Linked DNA regions of Caenorhabditis elegans. The protein of the gene in region 1 interacts with the protein of each later gene in a pairwise test. Each region holds a gene or a part of one and is shown on either strand. Other genes may lie near its edges.

Evidence for each region.
Region 2: the proteins of W09C3.4 (region 1) and rimb-1 interact in a two-hybrid assay, tested with the Caenorhabditis elegans proteins (one large-scale study listed by BioGRID).

Annotation. Positions count from the first base shown.
Region 1 is NC_003279.8:4,700,122-4,707,703, forward strand, and holds W09C3.4 (putative DNA-directed RNA polymerase III subunit RPC6), read left to right. Parts: upstream 1-4,482; 5' UTR 4,483-4,500; coding exon 4,501-4,761; intron 4,762-4,813; coding exon 4,814-5,176; intron 5,177-5,325; coding exon 5,326-5,592; 3' UTR 5,593-5,764; downstream 5,765-7,582. Other genes in the region: W09C3.3 (Methyltransferase FkbM domain-containing protein), read left to right, coding at 6,643-6,720, 7,482-7,582. UniProt on the Caenorhabditis elegans protein: DNA-dependent RNA polymerase catalyzes the transcription of DNA into RNA using the four ribonucleoside triphosphates as substrates. Specific peripheric component of RNA polymerase III which synthesizes small RNAs, such as 5S rRNA and tRNAs.
Region 2 is NC_003281.10:1,784,812-1,793,502, forward strand, and holds the start of rimb-1 (Variant SH3 domain protein), read left to right. Parts: upstream 1-3,521; 5' UTR 3,522-3,594; intron 3,595-4,225; 5' UTR 4,226-4,272; coding exon 4,273-4,643; intron 4,644-5,977; coding exon 5,978-6,107; intron 6,108-6,278; coding exon 6,279-6,351; intron 6,352-7,907; coding exon 7,908-8,059; intron 8,060-8,691.

The DNA.
Region 1 (7,582 bases):
AATTGATGTATTTTCATTTTAAAAAATTCATTTCCCCCTCAAACATTTTTTTACAAATTTGTTGAACCCAAAAACTCTTAAAAACTACTAAATATCTTTCAAATTATCGAGAAAACTTTCGATCAATCTTGAAGCAAAAACAGATAAAACCAACATAAACTGCAGACCTGATAATGAGAAAACCCAATTGGCCAGCCACATGACATCAAACAACAGATGAATTCTACGTCACAAACTTTCATATTCATCAGTAGACGAAAAATGAATCAGTTCATTTAGCTCTAGATATTTATTTGATCAGCGGACTCGACTCGCTAGCTAAAATGAAACATCGCAGTAGTACAGATTTTCAGAATTTTTTTTTCCGAATTCTACGGAAGTAATGGAAAACATAGGAACTTCCTAATCACACAAGATGATACAACGCCAAAGTTGGCATTTTGCCAAGTTGGCCAGTAGAGACTCTGTGCGAGAGAAAAAGAGAGAACGTTGGCAATTTGCCAAGCTGTTCAAATGGACGGAAAGGACGCGCCGACGACATTGGCCCCCAGAAAATGGTGAAGCCGTCGAGACAGGGACCGATTTATTTACTCTTACGAAGTACCGCATATTTTAATCAGGAAATTCCAGTCAAAAGAAAAGTAGCGGAAAATTTGAAATTTTAAGGGCGGAAGATATTGTCTAGAACCTGGTTTTAGGCTCTCCAATTACGGTTTGATCTACAGAAAAATCGGAATTTTTAATTCAGAAAAATGTGATGTCATCTAAATTCCCACAATTCTGGTAGATCAAACCGAAAGGGAGAACTCTGACACTACTGGTCAAGTACATTTCAGTTCGGCATATGGAATTCTCCATATACAGATCCCCTGAACATGAGTTTGATAAATAATAATGATATCAGAAAAAAAGTCGTTATCCAAATCCGAAAATCCCACAAAATACCAATAGGAAAAATATGATTTAAAAAAGAAAAAAGGAAGAAGCATGTGCAACTTGGTTTTTGCTGTGTTGTCTATCGGTGAGTGTTATTGGCCAACAACCCTTTCCCCTCTCTACACCACAAAAACGCGCACAATCTCTTTCTGTCCGTCTCTCTACTCTCCAATAGTCTATCATCTGCTCTTCTCAATTTCACCTGTTCTCTGATCATGTTCTGACCACTACTCTGCGTCGTCGTCTCTTCCACCTCCTCCTTCCTTCCATTTCTACTAACCAATACTACTATTACGAGAGAGAGAGAGAGAGGGAGAGAGAGAGCGTGCTGCTGCTGCTGATGCTTGCCTTGCGCAGACCTCTTTTTCTGTGTGAGCGGTGGAGTGTGCGCAAAGAAGGAACTCATAAAACACTCACACGTTGTTCCCCCCGTTTGGTCCTCCCAATTCAACCACCCAGAGGTGCGCCCCCAGACGTTTTGGTTATGAGCGGCCAAAGGTGTGTATGTGTGTGTGTTTGAGAGTGAGCGCAGTGTGAGCGTCGTCTGTGTGTGTTCTGTTTAAATGAGAAAAAGAGCGGTTTTTGCTTTTCACCGCCGATTGGTACCCCCCTAAATGAATGATAGTGACATAGTGAGAAAGAGAGAGAGCATCATCACTGATAAGAAATGATAAGACAATTCCACTTTCTGACCATTAGTTCATCGTTATTGTCTAAGTGTAAAGTTTCGATTGAATTTTGACAATTTATGGTCTAAATAAGAAATAGTATTTTCTTTCTTGAAGAGTAAAAATATTACGCAACCGTAAAGTGTAGAAAGTTGAAGAGACCCAGACATATTGAAACCCAGGGGGCGTGGCGCGGGAAGAGCAGAAGTTGTGTAGATTTACGGAGCGTTATTGACGTAGATCTACATAAGTTCGACTCTTCCCTCTGGGTCCCGATATGTCTGCGTCTCTTCAACTTTTTACGCTCTGCTGCTGAGTAATAGTAAAGTCCTACCCACATGCTAAAAATTTTCAGAAGCTGCTGAATATTCTGGTGAACATTTCAGATTTAAAGATTTTTTTTAAAACTAGAGCTAAAAAAATTTTAGAGACGCGAAACCCAATTATATCTAAGTGACTGAATCTAGAAATCTTCTCTGGAAAGAAAGAAAATATTATAAATCTAGATCACAAATTTACAGATTTATCTGTTGATTTACAAACGTGCCTTTCAGAACTGATCTTACTGAAATTAATTTTCTCATTAAAAAATTTTAGTTTATAATTTGAAATTGTTATGTTGCTCCCTTGACACTTATCAACTGATTTTTCCAAAAAAACTATATATTAAAAAAATTAAAATCCTTCAGGCATGTCATCAAATCTCCTTTCGTAAATAACAAGGCTTCATTTCATTCTTCCTCCTGATACTATGGCTTTCGAAATGAAAATGCAAAACTGCCAGGTGCTCATAGCTCATTAAACGGATACACAGAATCACGAGCAAATTGGCTAGGATTAAAAATGGCAAAAGTCGAAACATCGTGCCCGGATTAGTGCATTCTGGAGGGGGAAAACAAAGTATTTAATTCACCTTTTCGAAATCAAAAGTGTGATGGTGAATGATCGGATTAGAGAGCTCCAACGAATCTCGTGAGGAAATTAATCTATGCTAAGCAACTGGAAATGTTATATCTACAAAATGGCTATTAATGTTTTCAGATGTTTTCAGCTTTCAGCCCACTCGTATAGTTAGGCCTTATTTTCAGATATTTTTCACCTATTTGCAGCTGCTATCAAGAATAAATCTCAGGGTTTTAGTTAGAAAACATGTTGATTCCAACTTGATGGAAATTATGGTGAAATTGCCAAGAATCGTCGGCAAATTGTGATTTTGCATATATCTGTTTTTTTTTGGAAATTTTAGAATTTCAAAAAATAAAAAATTACATAAAGGCACAAGTTTAAGTGTTTTCGTCTTATAGAAAAACTCCTCTAAACATTTCCGGCAAATCTGATATTCGGTAAATCGGCAAATGTACAATTTGCCGATTTGCCGAATTTGTCCTTTTTTTTTCTCGAGATGTATGAAATATGGGAGTGAGAAGAGAATTGCAAAATAGGAAGACACGAGATTCAAAATGAGGGAGTATGAGCCAAACAAGACGGAGAAAAGGCATAAGAGGAGCTCTGTGTTGAGGGATATATAATTTGTTGGAGGAGAATGACACGGAGAACACATTGCGAATATGGGATCAAACTAGAGACGCAGAGCACTGAGCAGATATCTCACAAACACCCGGTGTGTGGCAGATGGTGAGCCATTTTGGTCACTCTCTTTCCCTCTTGTTGTTCGCCTCCCTGAAAGGCAACTGCTAGCAGGCTCTGGCTACTCCTACTGACTGCTTCTTCATTGAATGCTCCTCTTTTCCATTGATGACGATTGAATATGCGAGAGACAGCCGGGGTCTCTAATACTAGGAGCCGAGTAGCATGAAATTGTTGTTGTGAAACTTATTAGAAAATGGATAAGTGTGGGGGATTTGTTGAGAATATTTTTAGCGAAAGCGAGAAATTTTAAGCTTTTGTCAGTACAACTGCGAAGTTATTTACCTCAATATGCAATATTACGGTAACACAAACCTCTTAGAATGCGTATTGTGCAACATAGTTGACGCGCAGAATATCTCGTAGCGAAAACTACAGTAATTCTTTAAAGGACTACTGTAGCTCTTTTGTCGAATTACGGGCACTATTTTCGAAATGAATTAATTTTCCAAAAGTGACAGCGATACTCATTTTCCGTCGTTTTTTTCGTATGATTCTTATCCATAAATAAATGATTTTAATTAATTTCGAAAATCGAGCCTGTAAATCAACATAAGCGCTACAGTAGTCATTTAAAGAATTACTGTAGTTTTCGCTACGAGATATTCTGCGCGTCAAATATGTTGCGCACTGGGCATTCATTTTGTGTTTTCGTAATAAAAGAAACGTTATGATATGTTTAACAAAATTTTGGATTTCATTTTTTTGATTAAAACTAACAATTCTCCAGTAATCTGAAAAATTGTCCTTTCCAAGCCAAAATAATATTTTAAATATATAACTCTTCTCATTTTCACTGATTATAATGATCAATGCATTAAAATACAGCTGCTAAAAAGCCAAACACCTTGTTTCCTTCAGATTTTCGAAAAATGGCATGTAACTCGAATGCGGCTGCCAAACCGACCACGAACAACAAAAATTCTCAAAATTTATAATTTTTATGTATATAAGCTTTTAGAAAAACATTTTTTCTATCCATTTATCTATTTTTATTATTTTATAATCTTCAGTATTAATGCTTTTAGCCACAGTCTTCATTTTCATCTCATTTTGCCATCGCCCCGCCCCGTGTGGCGACCGCGCTCTATTGCGAATCATTTTTCTCTCGCAATTTGCAGTTATTATTTCTCCCTTCAGTTTCACTATTTTCTCACAAAAATTCACCGAATAAAATGTTTTCTCTCAATAATTTTATGTTTTTTCTTATTTTTCTAATGCATATTTTAATTTTCAGCGGATAAAAATCATGGCTTCCATCAAAGAAGAACTTATAAGCGCGGCGGAAAGCGAATCGCAAGTGATGCAGATCGTTCAAGCGGCTCTCGAAGGAATTGATATGGATGCATTGACAAGTATGACACCTGGATTGCCACAAACTGTTCGTCAGACTGCGATCAATAGCCTTTTGAGCTCAAAGAAATTGGCTATTCAACAAGCGCCTGGCGGTGTGCTCCGGTTGAAAGTTAACACAAGTGAACAGATTGCGGGAACAGAAGAGGAGCAAGTGGTGAGTATTTCTTGCATCCGGAAGAAAGAAAAACTGACATTTTTCATTACAGATTTACAGTCTTATCGAAGAATCGAAGACGCGTGGAATATGGATAAAAGAACTTCGAGAAGGTTCAGGACTCAACCAGCTTCAACTTCGAAAAACATTGAAAAGTCTGGAAACGAAAAAGTTGATCAAGACTATCAAAGCTGTTGGAACTACGAGGAAGTGCTATATTTTGTTTAGTATTGAACCAGATATGTCATTGACTGGTGGAACATTCTATTCTGATCAACAACTCGATTCGGAACTCATCAATACATTGATCAGTGTTTGTGGTTCATATGCTGCCAGCAGACGAAAGCATGCGATTGATGAAAATCCGAATAATATTCAAATGCAAAGAGAAGCCAGCTATATTCGTCCTCAAGAGGTTTGATTTTTATTGATAGCTCTAAAAAAATTTTTTTTTAAACTCTAAATTGAAAATGTGAATTTTTTTAACCGGAAAATAAATTAAATTGATGTTTTTCAATTTTTTTAGCAAAAAATATGCGTAATCAATTTTAAAAAAATTTCCAGATAGCCCAATTCATCACCGAAAAACGAGTATTGAATGTTCCACTATCATTGGAAGATTTAGAAAGAATTCTCGAAGTCGCTGTGTTGGATGGAACAATTGAACGAAGAGCTGATGGAAAGATCCGTGCATGTCCACCACGTTCCAGTATTTCTCCATTAGTGTCGGTTCCGTGTGCTATTTGTCCAGTTGTCGAGGATTGTCGACCAGGATATGTGATCTCTCCTCAATCATGTGATTATATGAAAAATTGGCTGGCCGATCTGTAACTGCAGTACTCTCTAGTTAATTGTTTTGAGAACTCAGATCTTCAAAACCCGTATTTTTATTGTCCATTTTTGTTAATTTATTGATGCCTTTTTGTTGTTGATTCTCCTCTTTTTTTCTTAATTGTTAAATATTTGTTCTGAATAAAAAAATCTCATAAAAAGAGATACAAATGCTGGTTCTATTTCAGAAAGAATGGTAGGAAGTGACTAATCTTAATGTCAAACCATAATGATCGACCCTTGACGCGGAGCAGTTTTGCAAGTATGCGGCGCGGTTTTATGCATGTCATTTTTTTCTGGTTTTACAGGTTTCAATTTAAAAACCGGACTAGCCCGTAAATCGACAATAGCGCTACAGTAGTCATTTAAAGAATTACTGTAGTTTTCGCTACGAGATATTTTGCGTGTCAAACATGTTGCGCAATACGCATTCTCAGTATTGTAGGGTCCCGTAATATTAATTTTAAAAATGTTTTCTTTTTTTTTTTTAATTTTTTCCGAAATATTTTTAAAATATTACTTTTAAAAATATTTTTTTTGTCGTTTTGAAAAATAGGTACAAAACAGGAATTTTGCCCAAAAAATGAGTAAAACCGAGCGAAAAAAAATACTCACACATGTATGTCCATGTCTAGTACAAAACTCTTCGTAAATCGACATGCAAAAAACCGCGCCGCAGGCTTGCAAAACCACGCTCCGCTCCTTTTTAATTCAATAATTGCGAAATTTGAGATTGATTCTTTCGGCAATACTTTAATATTCAAATTTTTGTGGAAAAAAACCCTGATAAGGGCGGAGCATGTCTCTTTTTTCCGTTTGCCGACAAAATTTGAATTGATTATTGAGTGCTCATTTCCCTATTCAACATCCAAAACCACGTAGTTAATATACATTTGTTCAATCCAAAAGAGCTCTCACTCTCTTTCTCTCCCTCCTACATTATATTGCTTTCCATATTTGTTCGGATTCTCTGTATTTGTTTTCATATTTTCATTCTCTGATTTAATAACCGACACCCATTACAAAAAGCGTACTTTATGATTTTTTGAGATGAATATGGTCTTTAAATATATTTTTTTAATTACATGTTGTTTTGCTATTATTGTCCTATTGCATAAGACCGATAAAGTGAGTTTTACAGTTCTTGGGTCAGATTTTAACTTTGAAAAAAAAAACACAATGCGAGGTTAGGAATACGGTACCGGGTCTCGAAACAACCTAAAGTTTTGAAATGAACGCTTTGAAAAAGTGTATGCGCCTTTAAGATGTACAGCAGTCACGCAATCTTTGATTATTTTTAAACTCTTAATGATTAACTTTATATTTTTTGGGAAGTGTGGAGATACTGTATGAGTACTGTAGAGGTACTTCAGGAGTACTGTAGGATTACTGTAAATTAAGAAAATCCGAGTTTCTTTAAAGTTGAAACAAGTCCCCGAAAAAAAATTTTCAAAAAAGTTCATTTTAAGTCAGATATTAATTTTTGAAATCATGAAAATTAAATAAATATCCCAATAAAAAAATGCGATCATTTATATGCCTGGAGGTCAGTTTTTTTTTATTAAACTGGAAGCTTCTGGCACCTAGAAAAATGTTATAATTAAATTCTGGAAGCGCTTAAAATTTGAAACAAGTCCCCGAAAAAACATTTAAAAAAAGATAATTTTAAGTCAGATATTAATTTTTAAATTTATGCAAATTCAGTAAATCTCCCTATAAAAAAATGCGGTCATTTATATGTCTGAAGGCCAGTTTTTTTGATTGAACTGGAAGCTTCTGGCACCTAGAAAAATTTAGATATTAAATTCTGAAAACGCTTGAAATTTGAAAGAAGTCCCCGAAAAAACATTTTCAAAAAAAGTTCATTTCAAGTCAGATTTTTCTTTCAGATCACTCGAAACGGCAAAACTCTAATCCAGCTGAATTCTTTTAAACCAAAGTTTTTCGAAGAATGGAATTCGTGCGTTGCTCAAAAATTTCTGGACATAAC
Region 2 (8,691 bases), on another chromosome or scaffold:
TTTGTTGAAATTCTCAATCCCTACAATTTGCCGATTTGCCTGAATTTCAATTCCGGCAATTTGCCGATTTGACGGAAAGGTTTATTTTCGGCTTTTGTAAATTTTTTGGCTTATTGTAAAGCCTTTTAGAAGGCAAGTTTCGATGAGTTCAAGCCTAAAAGTAAGTCGTCAAATTTAGACCCGTAAGATGTCGGTCGTTATAACTTTTTTCAGAGTTGAGCTATGAAAATGTGATCAACTTTTGAGATTTGAAGCTCGGATTTTCGGAAAAAAATAAATTTTTTTATTTTGAGTGTACCATGAAAGAGGGGTACCTCCCTCTCTTCCTGTGTAAGAGGTGATTGTAAATGAGAGCCATTCTAGTCCCCTTGTCAATGTAACCTATTACCCCTATACCAGGGGTGTGCGGCAAATTTGCCAAATTTGCCGAGCACGGCAAATTTCAAAAAAGTAGATTTGCCGAATTTGCCGAGCTCGGCAAATTTCGAAATTTGCCGCACACGTCAAAAATTTTACAGTACAATTTTGACTAAAATTATTGATTTTTTCGCCAAAAATTTAGTAAAATGACACAAAATTGAGCTATTTTGATGCTTAAACATACATACTACACGGAACTAATTCAGAAACCAGATATGTGTTAAGAATTTGGTAGTTTTGGTGTTCCAAAAACATCAAAAATTATCAAAATTTTCCGAGTTTGTTAAGCACGGCAAATTTGCCGAATTTACCGAGCTCGGCAAATTTGCCGAATTTGCCGTGCTCGGCAAATATTGAAAAAAGAGATTTGCCGAATTTGCCGAGCTCGGCAAATTTTGAGATTTGCCGCACACCCCTGCCCTATACCCTATACCCTGAGAAAGAGGGACTCTTCATGATCCATAGGTATGCCTGTCATTCTCTATTTTTAAACGTTCCTGCAGCAGTAGCACAACAGAGCCAGCAGTTTTCCTCTTCTTCTCCATCTTCTTCTGCTTCTTCCTCTCTTCCCAAAAAAAAAAAAAAAAAAAAAGTGAGGGGGCTCACTGCCCCCCCCCCCCTCCCCCCCCCCTCTTCTCCTTGAAGCTCATCCAGACGTCGCTGTCCTCCTCCTCCTCGTCCCCGGGGCGCTGTGTGTGTGTGTGTGTGCTCCGTGAGCATGTAGCAGCTTCAGCCCATTTAAAGGCGCACACTCTCTGCATCTCTGCGTGTCTCGACACTCGTTTTTTCTCTTCTTTTCTGCTGCACACACACACACACACACACACACGCTCATGCCAGAGCACTTCTTGCTCCGGGGGGCTCCGCGCGGAGCCCGAGAGGACCTCCTCCTCCTTTTTCTTCTTCGCTTTTTAGTTCTTCTTGCCTCGGTCTCGCCCCTTGTTTTGCTCTCCATGTAGTATATACATCTGGGTGTGTGTGTGTGTGTGCACCTTTGGAGCATTTTTTGAACTTTTCCAGAACTTTGGAGCAACATTTTCAGCTTGTTCAGTGCACTTTTTAGGCTGAAAATCCTATTTTTAGGTTTTCGAAAGTTTTTTTGGAGCATTTTTCGTGCAATTTAGGTGCAAAATTAAAAAAAAGGGTTTTGTAGTGAATTAAAATTTTTTTGAAACTTTCGCCTTTTTAAAAAAATGTTTCTAATATCTTTAAAAATTGGAATATTTTGGAAAACAATTTGTTTTCAATTGGCAATTTATTAATTCTGAGCTTCTGAGCGTAAATTTTTTTTTATTTTGGAGCAATTCTGAGATGTCTTAGTGCATTTTTCGGGCATACATAAAAAAAAATTTATCTTAATAATAAAAACCTTAAATTTAGGCTTCACCGTCTGGAAATTCAATTTTTTCAGCTGAAAAACTTTCAAAAAAAAAAAAATTAAATTTTCACATTTATTTTCTCTGGAATTTTGGAGCAATTTCAAAGCTGTCTTAGTGCATTTTTAGTACACAAATATTTTTTCATTTTTCTTAAATTTTAATAATCTAAGCTTAAATAAAGGCTTCACCGTCTGAAAATGCAACTTTTTTCAGATGAAATATTAAAAAAAAAAACCTCTTTTATTAATTTTGTGCTCCAAACTTTCCCACGGTACGCAAATCATGTAATATGTACTTTTAAACATTATTTTTCCAATCAAAAATATCCAACAGCTTTTCCTTACAATTTGAAAATTTTTATTAAAATTTCAAAAAAATTTTTTTTTTTTTTTAATTTCGAATTTTTTTAAACTTGTTGTAACTTTTTTCCCTGTCGGCGCCAATTAACAAAATACGTAGAATTTTGCGCTTATTGTTTTGTTAGTTAACAAATTTTTGACAACTTTCTTATCAGCTGAGATTTAGGTGTTTCAGTTCGCAATCTGCGTCTCTCCTTGCTCTCCTCTATTTTAAAACCCCCATAACTTTGTTCTTGTGAGAGTTATCAAAAAATTGTCAACTAACAAAATATAGAGCACAAAAATATGCACATTTTGTATGTTGACAATTTTTTGATACCTTTTTTAGTTTTCGAGATATCTTAGTTTTAGTTTAGCTGTACCTTTTTCTGGCAAAAAACTTCCAAATTTCGGCAATTTTTCGGCAAATTTCCCGGCAAATTTCGCCAAGTACATCGGGCTCTCAGACAAGTGGTCTGTGAGTGGAAGTCGATAAAAGTAGTTTACGTGCTCTCCGTCCCCCCGCTTCTTCTCCGTCTCTGCTTCTATTTCTCCATTGACTAGTCCCACTACTTTTTACGGGGCGGAGGGCTCTCTTGCACTCCAGCTTCTTCTCTTTTTGTGCTCTTTTTTGCCCGTATGTGGGTGCTCATTTATTTTTCTTTGGTTTTAAAATAAATTCGGTTTATTAGGCTACTCGTAAAAATGAAGAAAAAACTTCAAATTCAAACGACATTAAAAAAAAATTTAATAAAAATTTTTTGAATTGCTCAAAAGCCCCACCTATATATATATATAGCTCCGCCTACTTCTCGCACAGACCCCGCCCACTTTTTGACTCCGCCCCCTTATTGGCAAAAGTTCTTGAAAAAAATAAAAATAAAAATTCAAATTGAAACAATTTTTTTTTAATGAAGTAGTTTTTTTCTAAATTGATGAAAATTTCTAAACAGTTTACAAGCACCGCCCACTTTTTGACTCCGCCCCTTTGTTGGAAAAATTCTTGTAAAAAAAAATAAAAAATAAAAGCTTCTCTTTCAAACGATTTTTAGTTGGTTTTTGTATGAAAAGTTTTTTTCCTAAAATAGAAATGTCTGAATAATTTGCAAGCTCCGCCCTTTTCTTACCCAGACTCCGCCCCTTTATTGACTAATTTTTTTTTGTCCATTTACCTGAAGTTCAAAAAAAAAATTTACAGTTTCATAGAGTAATAATTTTTCAAAAATCTCTTTTTCCAATGTTTAATGTGTCATTATAAACCCGCCCAGTTTTAAGCTCCGCCCATTTAGGCCCCGCCCATTTATGACCCAAATATTTTTTTCTCTATTCACCCGTGGATTTCCCTCCAACAAGTTACCCCAAAAATAAAAATAAAAATTCCTGCAGGCGCCCACCGGGATCTAACATCGTGGCCTCTTCCAACAACAACCATCAATCGTCTACACCATCATTCGGCGGTAGGTTGGACCGTTTTTCTTGTTGTCGACAATTATGCTGTGTCAGGACTAGAAAATCTGAATTCAGCACGCTGAGAGCTTCAAAATAAGCCCCATATTGCCTAGGTTCTAATAAATATGAAAAAATTTGGTCTCGCCACGAAAACTTGTAGGGTTTGGTAGTCTTGGTGAATTTGGGTTAGTCTTATTTTTCCTAGTTTTTTTTGATAATTTTGACACAATCTGAGCTAAAAATTGAGAAAAAATCTTAAAAAATAATAAAAATATGGATTTTCGAAGATTTTCGAAGATTTTCGAAAATCGATAACTTTGCGAATTTTAATTTTTTCTACCTGAATTTAGTTTCGAAAATTTTGTAATTCTTTGAAAAGCTTTAGAAAAATATATTTAACATTCTACACAGTACCCCGGGACTTTTCGTGGCGGGACCCAAATTTTTAAAATAGTCGGGGCCTAGCCAAGATGGGTGTTAAATGAAAGGTCTCGAAGGGCTAAATTCAAATTTTTAGGTTACAAAGCTTTAAATTGAGTTTTTAATTTTTTTTGAAATTAAAAAAAAAAAAAATCCAAAAAAAAAATCCAAAAAAAAATCCAAAAAAAAAATTTCAAAAATTTAAATTATTAATTTCAGGTTCGTGGGGTCCCTACAACAAGGCGGACCACCTAGTCACCAACTGAATGCTGGGCGGTCTGTCGGGACCCGGTCCGCCGCCCCCACCACCCCCCGCATCCTCCTATGGCATGGTGCCAGGCCCGTCGACCTCGTTCACCAACCATCTGGGTCCCACGACGTCATCCGCGTCTACAGTACCACCGACGAGTGACGCGTTGCTCCTGCAACTCCGTTCGAGACCCAATTCTCGCGTTTTTCGCGCCCTTTTTCAATATCTACCGTTAAGGGATTCGCCGAACGAGAATCCACAGCTCGAGCTGAGCCTTCAGCCGGGAGATGTGGTTCTGGTGAAAGGGGAAATGGATTCGGATGGATTTTATTGTGGGGAAACGCTGGATGGACGTCAGGGACTGGTACCATCAAATTATGTAGAGAGGTGAGCATTTTGAAGCTTAAAAATTGAGCTTTTTATACTTTTTTGGGCGAAATCTCACTTTTTCCCGTGAAAAAAGATTTAAAATTCGGAGTCTGAGATTGAAAATACAAAATTCGAATTCTCTGTGTTCAGAGCTTTCAAATGACCCCCATATTGGCTATATTCCGCCAACTTTGAAATTTCCGGGTCCCACCACGGAGGGGTACTGTAGTTTTCGTGGCGGGATCCGAAAATTTTCAAAAATGACGGAACCTAGCCGATATGGGGGTCATTTTAAAGGTCTCAACGAGACGAGTTCATTGGAGCAGGTTTTATGTGAAAATTCGATCATTTTTGAGGAAAAAAAATTTTTTTTGTTCAAAAAAGTTTTTTTTTTTTAATTTTTGTTTTAACCATGTTTTCTGTAAATAATCAGAATGAGCATAATCTCAGCTTCAAAATAGTAATCCGCCATACTTTGAAAATTCGGGTCTCACCACGAAAACTCCACCGGCTACTGTAGTTTAGACGGAAAGTTTGCAGTTTTATATTTCTAATAAATTTTTGAAAACTTTTCATATACCCTGTAAAAAATTTGTGCTGAGTAGCATAAAAATTGACAAAGTTACGGATTTTCGAAAAGATTCAAAAAAATCAAAATTTTTAATTTTGTAAAATATTTAAAAATTCTGTAACACGAAAAAAAGTTTGATTTTTTCTATTTTACCATTATTTTCGAATTTTTCACGCTATTCGCTTTAATTTGACAGCCAACATTCCCAGGCTCCGCCAATTTTGAAAATTTTCGTGGTGGGACTCAACAATTCAAAAAATTTCAATTTTACCAAGAACCTAGGCATGATGGGGGTCAAATGAAAGGTCTCAAAAAACTAAATTTGAATTTTGTATTAGTTTAACTTTTTTGTCAGCATCCTCAGGGTTACGGTAGATTTTGAACTTTCCATTGGAAAATTTTTTCGGAAAAGTTTCGAAAATCCATAACTTTTCTCATTTTTGAGATTTTAACTTGAATTAAAATGTATAACAATTGTGAGTATTTGAAAAATATGGCAAAAATAATATAATTCTGAAAAACTCGAAAACTACAGTTCCCTGGGGCTTTTCGTGGCGGGACCCAAATTTTAAAATTAAAAGGATATAGGCATGTGTTGGGGTCATTTTGAAGCTCCCAACGCGGTGAATTTCTAATAAAACGAAAAAAATTTATATTTTGAATAAGGAAAATGAAAATAATTTTAAGAATAATTTTCAAAAAAAAAAAAAATTTAAAAAACTTTTTTTTCTAAATTTTTTTATTTCTCCAAAATTTAGAAAATAAAACCAAATCTTTTCAGAGTTCCGGATTCAGTGCTCCTGGCAAATGCACGGGCTCCATCACCATCATTCCCGCTTCGAATACCCCAACATTTCTCGACAATCACACACGACTTCTCCTCTCCGGATCACTCAACACTACCCGATTCTGTAAGTTTTTGAGGAATTTTTAAAGAAAATTTGGCTAAAAATTCTTTCAAATTCAGTTTTGAAAAGCAATTTTGAAATAAAAAAAATTTAAAAAATTTTCTGGAATTTTTTTTTTTTTGAAATTTTTTTAAATTAATTTTTTCAAAAATATATAATTTTCAAATTTTTCAGGTTTGCCCTTACCCACCAGCTGACGTCACAAAAGTTACTGTACAAGAGATCAAGAACAACGAAACGCCTAGGAGTGAGTTGAAAATTTTAAAACATTCTCGAAAAAAAATTTTTTTTTTTCGAAATTTTCAAATATCGAGCCGCTACTCAGCCAATTTTCGAGATAAGCTCTTGAAAACTAATAATTCAATTTTTTCTTGCCAGTAGCTTCAATTTAACACCCATATCGGCTAGGCTCCGATGAAAAGCCCAGTTTTCGAAATTTTTTCCGGGTCGCGCCACGAAAACTCTGGGGGTACTGTAGGTGATAGATGTCTTTGACTTTTTGTATTTTTGCAAAGTAACCAAACTTAAAACACATGTTTTAGGCTAAAAATCAGCTGAAAATCTCAGATATTGATAAAGTTACAGATTTTCGAAAAATTCCAAAATTTTTAGAATTATTGTGTTGATTTTTTGAAAAATCTACATTTCGTAAACTTTCATGGAAGATATATTTGGCTAAAATTATTGAATTTGGTACAGTCGTTGTCTCTTTTAGGCTCCGCCTACTTTTGATGGGTCTCGCCGCGAAAAGTTTCGAAAATCCGTAACTTTTTCAATTTTCAAGATTCTAGCACAATTTTTTTTTCAAAACGTATGAAAACGTGTTGAAAATTCGTTTAAAATTAAACTTGAGCACGGTATTTGGATCTACAGTAACCCAACGGGTTTTCGTGGTGGGACCCAGAAATTTTCCCAATTTTTAAAACAGGCGGATTATAGCCAATATGGGGCTCATTTCGAAGCTGAAAATGTAGAAAAAACGAATTTCTGAAGTAAATTTTAAAATTTATTGGAAGTAAGAAATTTTAGTGAAAAAATAAAAAAATAAATATAAAATTTCCCAGATTTATAATTTATTTCTTTAATATCTGCACTGAATCTATAAAATTTATAAAAGAATAAAGCCTCAAAACTTTTTGAATAATTCATTTTCCGTGGGGGCCCCATATCCAAAAATGGGCAAAAAACGGAGACGCAGAGCACCAGCACTAATTCCATTTGGAAAGGGGGCTCACAAAGTGTGTGTGTGTGTGTGCTCCGTGAGCAGTAGTAGGCAGCACACAGCTAATCTGAACTGACAGATGACCCGTGGAGAGAAAAAAGGAAAAAAATGGGGAGGGGGAGGAAGCTTCTTTTATATTGAAAAGAGCCGGCGGCGAGCGGAGCTCCTTGATATTTTTGGGTGTTTGAGGGACTGAAAGATGAAACCAGAAATTTGCTAAAAAATTATTTTTACAGATTTTGAAAATGTTAAATTTCAAGAAAGTTATGGGAGTTTAAGTTTAGCTAAAAAAAAAAAAAAATTTTTTTCAATTTTTCAAAATTTTTTTTTCAAAGTTCATCTCAAAACGTGTGTTTAATCACGATTTTGAATATATAAAATTATTTTATCAATACAATACAGGTTAGAAAACCAGAAAATATTGATTTTGAGCAAAGTTATAAAGTTTTGAAATAATTGAAACAAAATTTGAAAAAACAAATTTTTTTCAGATTTTTTTAAAACTTCAATAATTAACAACTTGGAGGTTTCGGAGTCAAATTTTTTGAATTTTGAATTAGAAAAATCAATATTTCTTACAGTACCATGCCCTCGAGAATTAATAGTGGAAAAGAAGTTATCACGTAGCGCCCTAGTTTCATGGAGTTCGCCGGAAGAGTCCTTTGTCGCCGTTTCCCAATATCACGTGTGTGTCGATGGAACCGTTAGAGCAATTGTACCCGGAAGTTATAAAGTGAGTTTTTGGGATGAAAATGGGTTTTTGAAAATTTGGAAAATATGGATTTTGAGCAAAGTTATGGGAGTTTTTCGGAATTTCGATTTGAAACTTTCAAAACATTTTATTTGATTTTATTTTTTGACAGTAGCCTAAATATAATAAAAAACATTAAATAAATAATTTTAATTTCAATTTGCATTTTTCAGAGCTCAAAAATTCCGATTTTGAGCCAAGTTATGAGATTTTGAAAAAAATTGAGGTTCAAATTTTTTTTTGAAATTAAATTTCCAAATTTTTTGCAGAATAAAGTAGATTTTTATTTTTAAAAAATACAATAAGAATTTACCAAATTTACTGAAAACCTGACAACCGAATTTACCGGTTTTCAACAAATTGTATGTTTTTTAAATTTATTTCAAAAAAAAAAATTTTTCGAAAGTTTTTTTTGCTAACTATTTATTATTTTCAAAATTTGAGTGAATTTTTGTGCTCAGCACGCCGAGACCTTTTAAATGACCCCCAACATGCCTAGGCTGCGCTCATTTTCGAAAATTTCTGAAATCTCGGGTCCCACCACGAAATTTCTCAAAATGGGCGGAGCCTAAGAATCTTGGTGGTTATTGGAAAGATTTTGATTTGACGAAAAT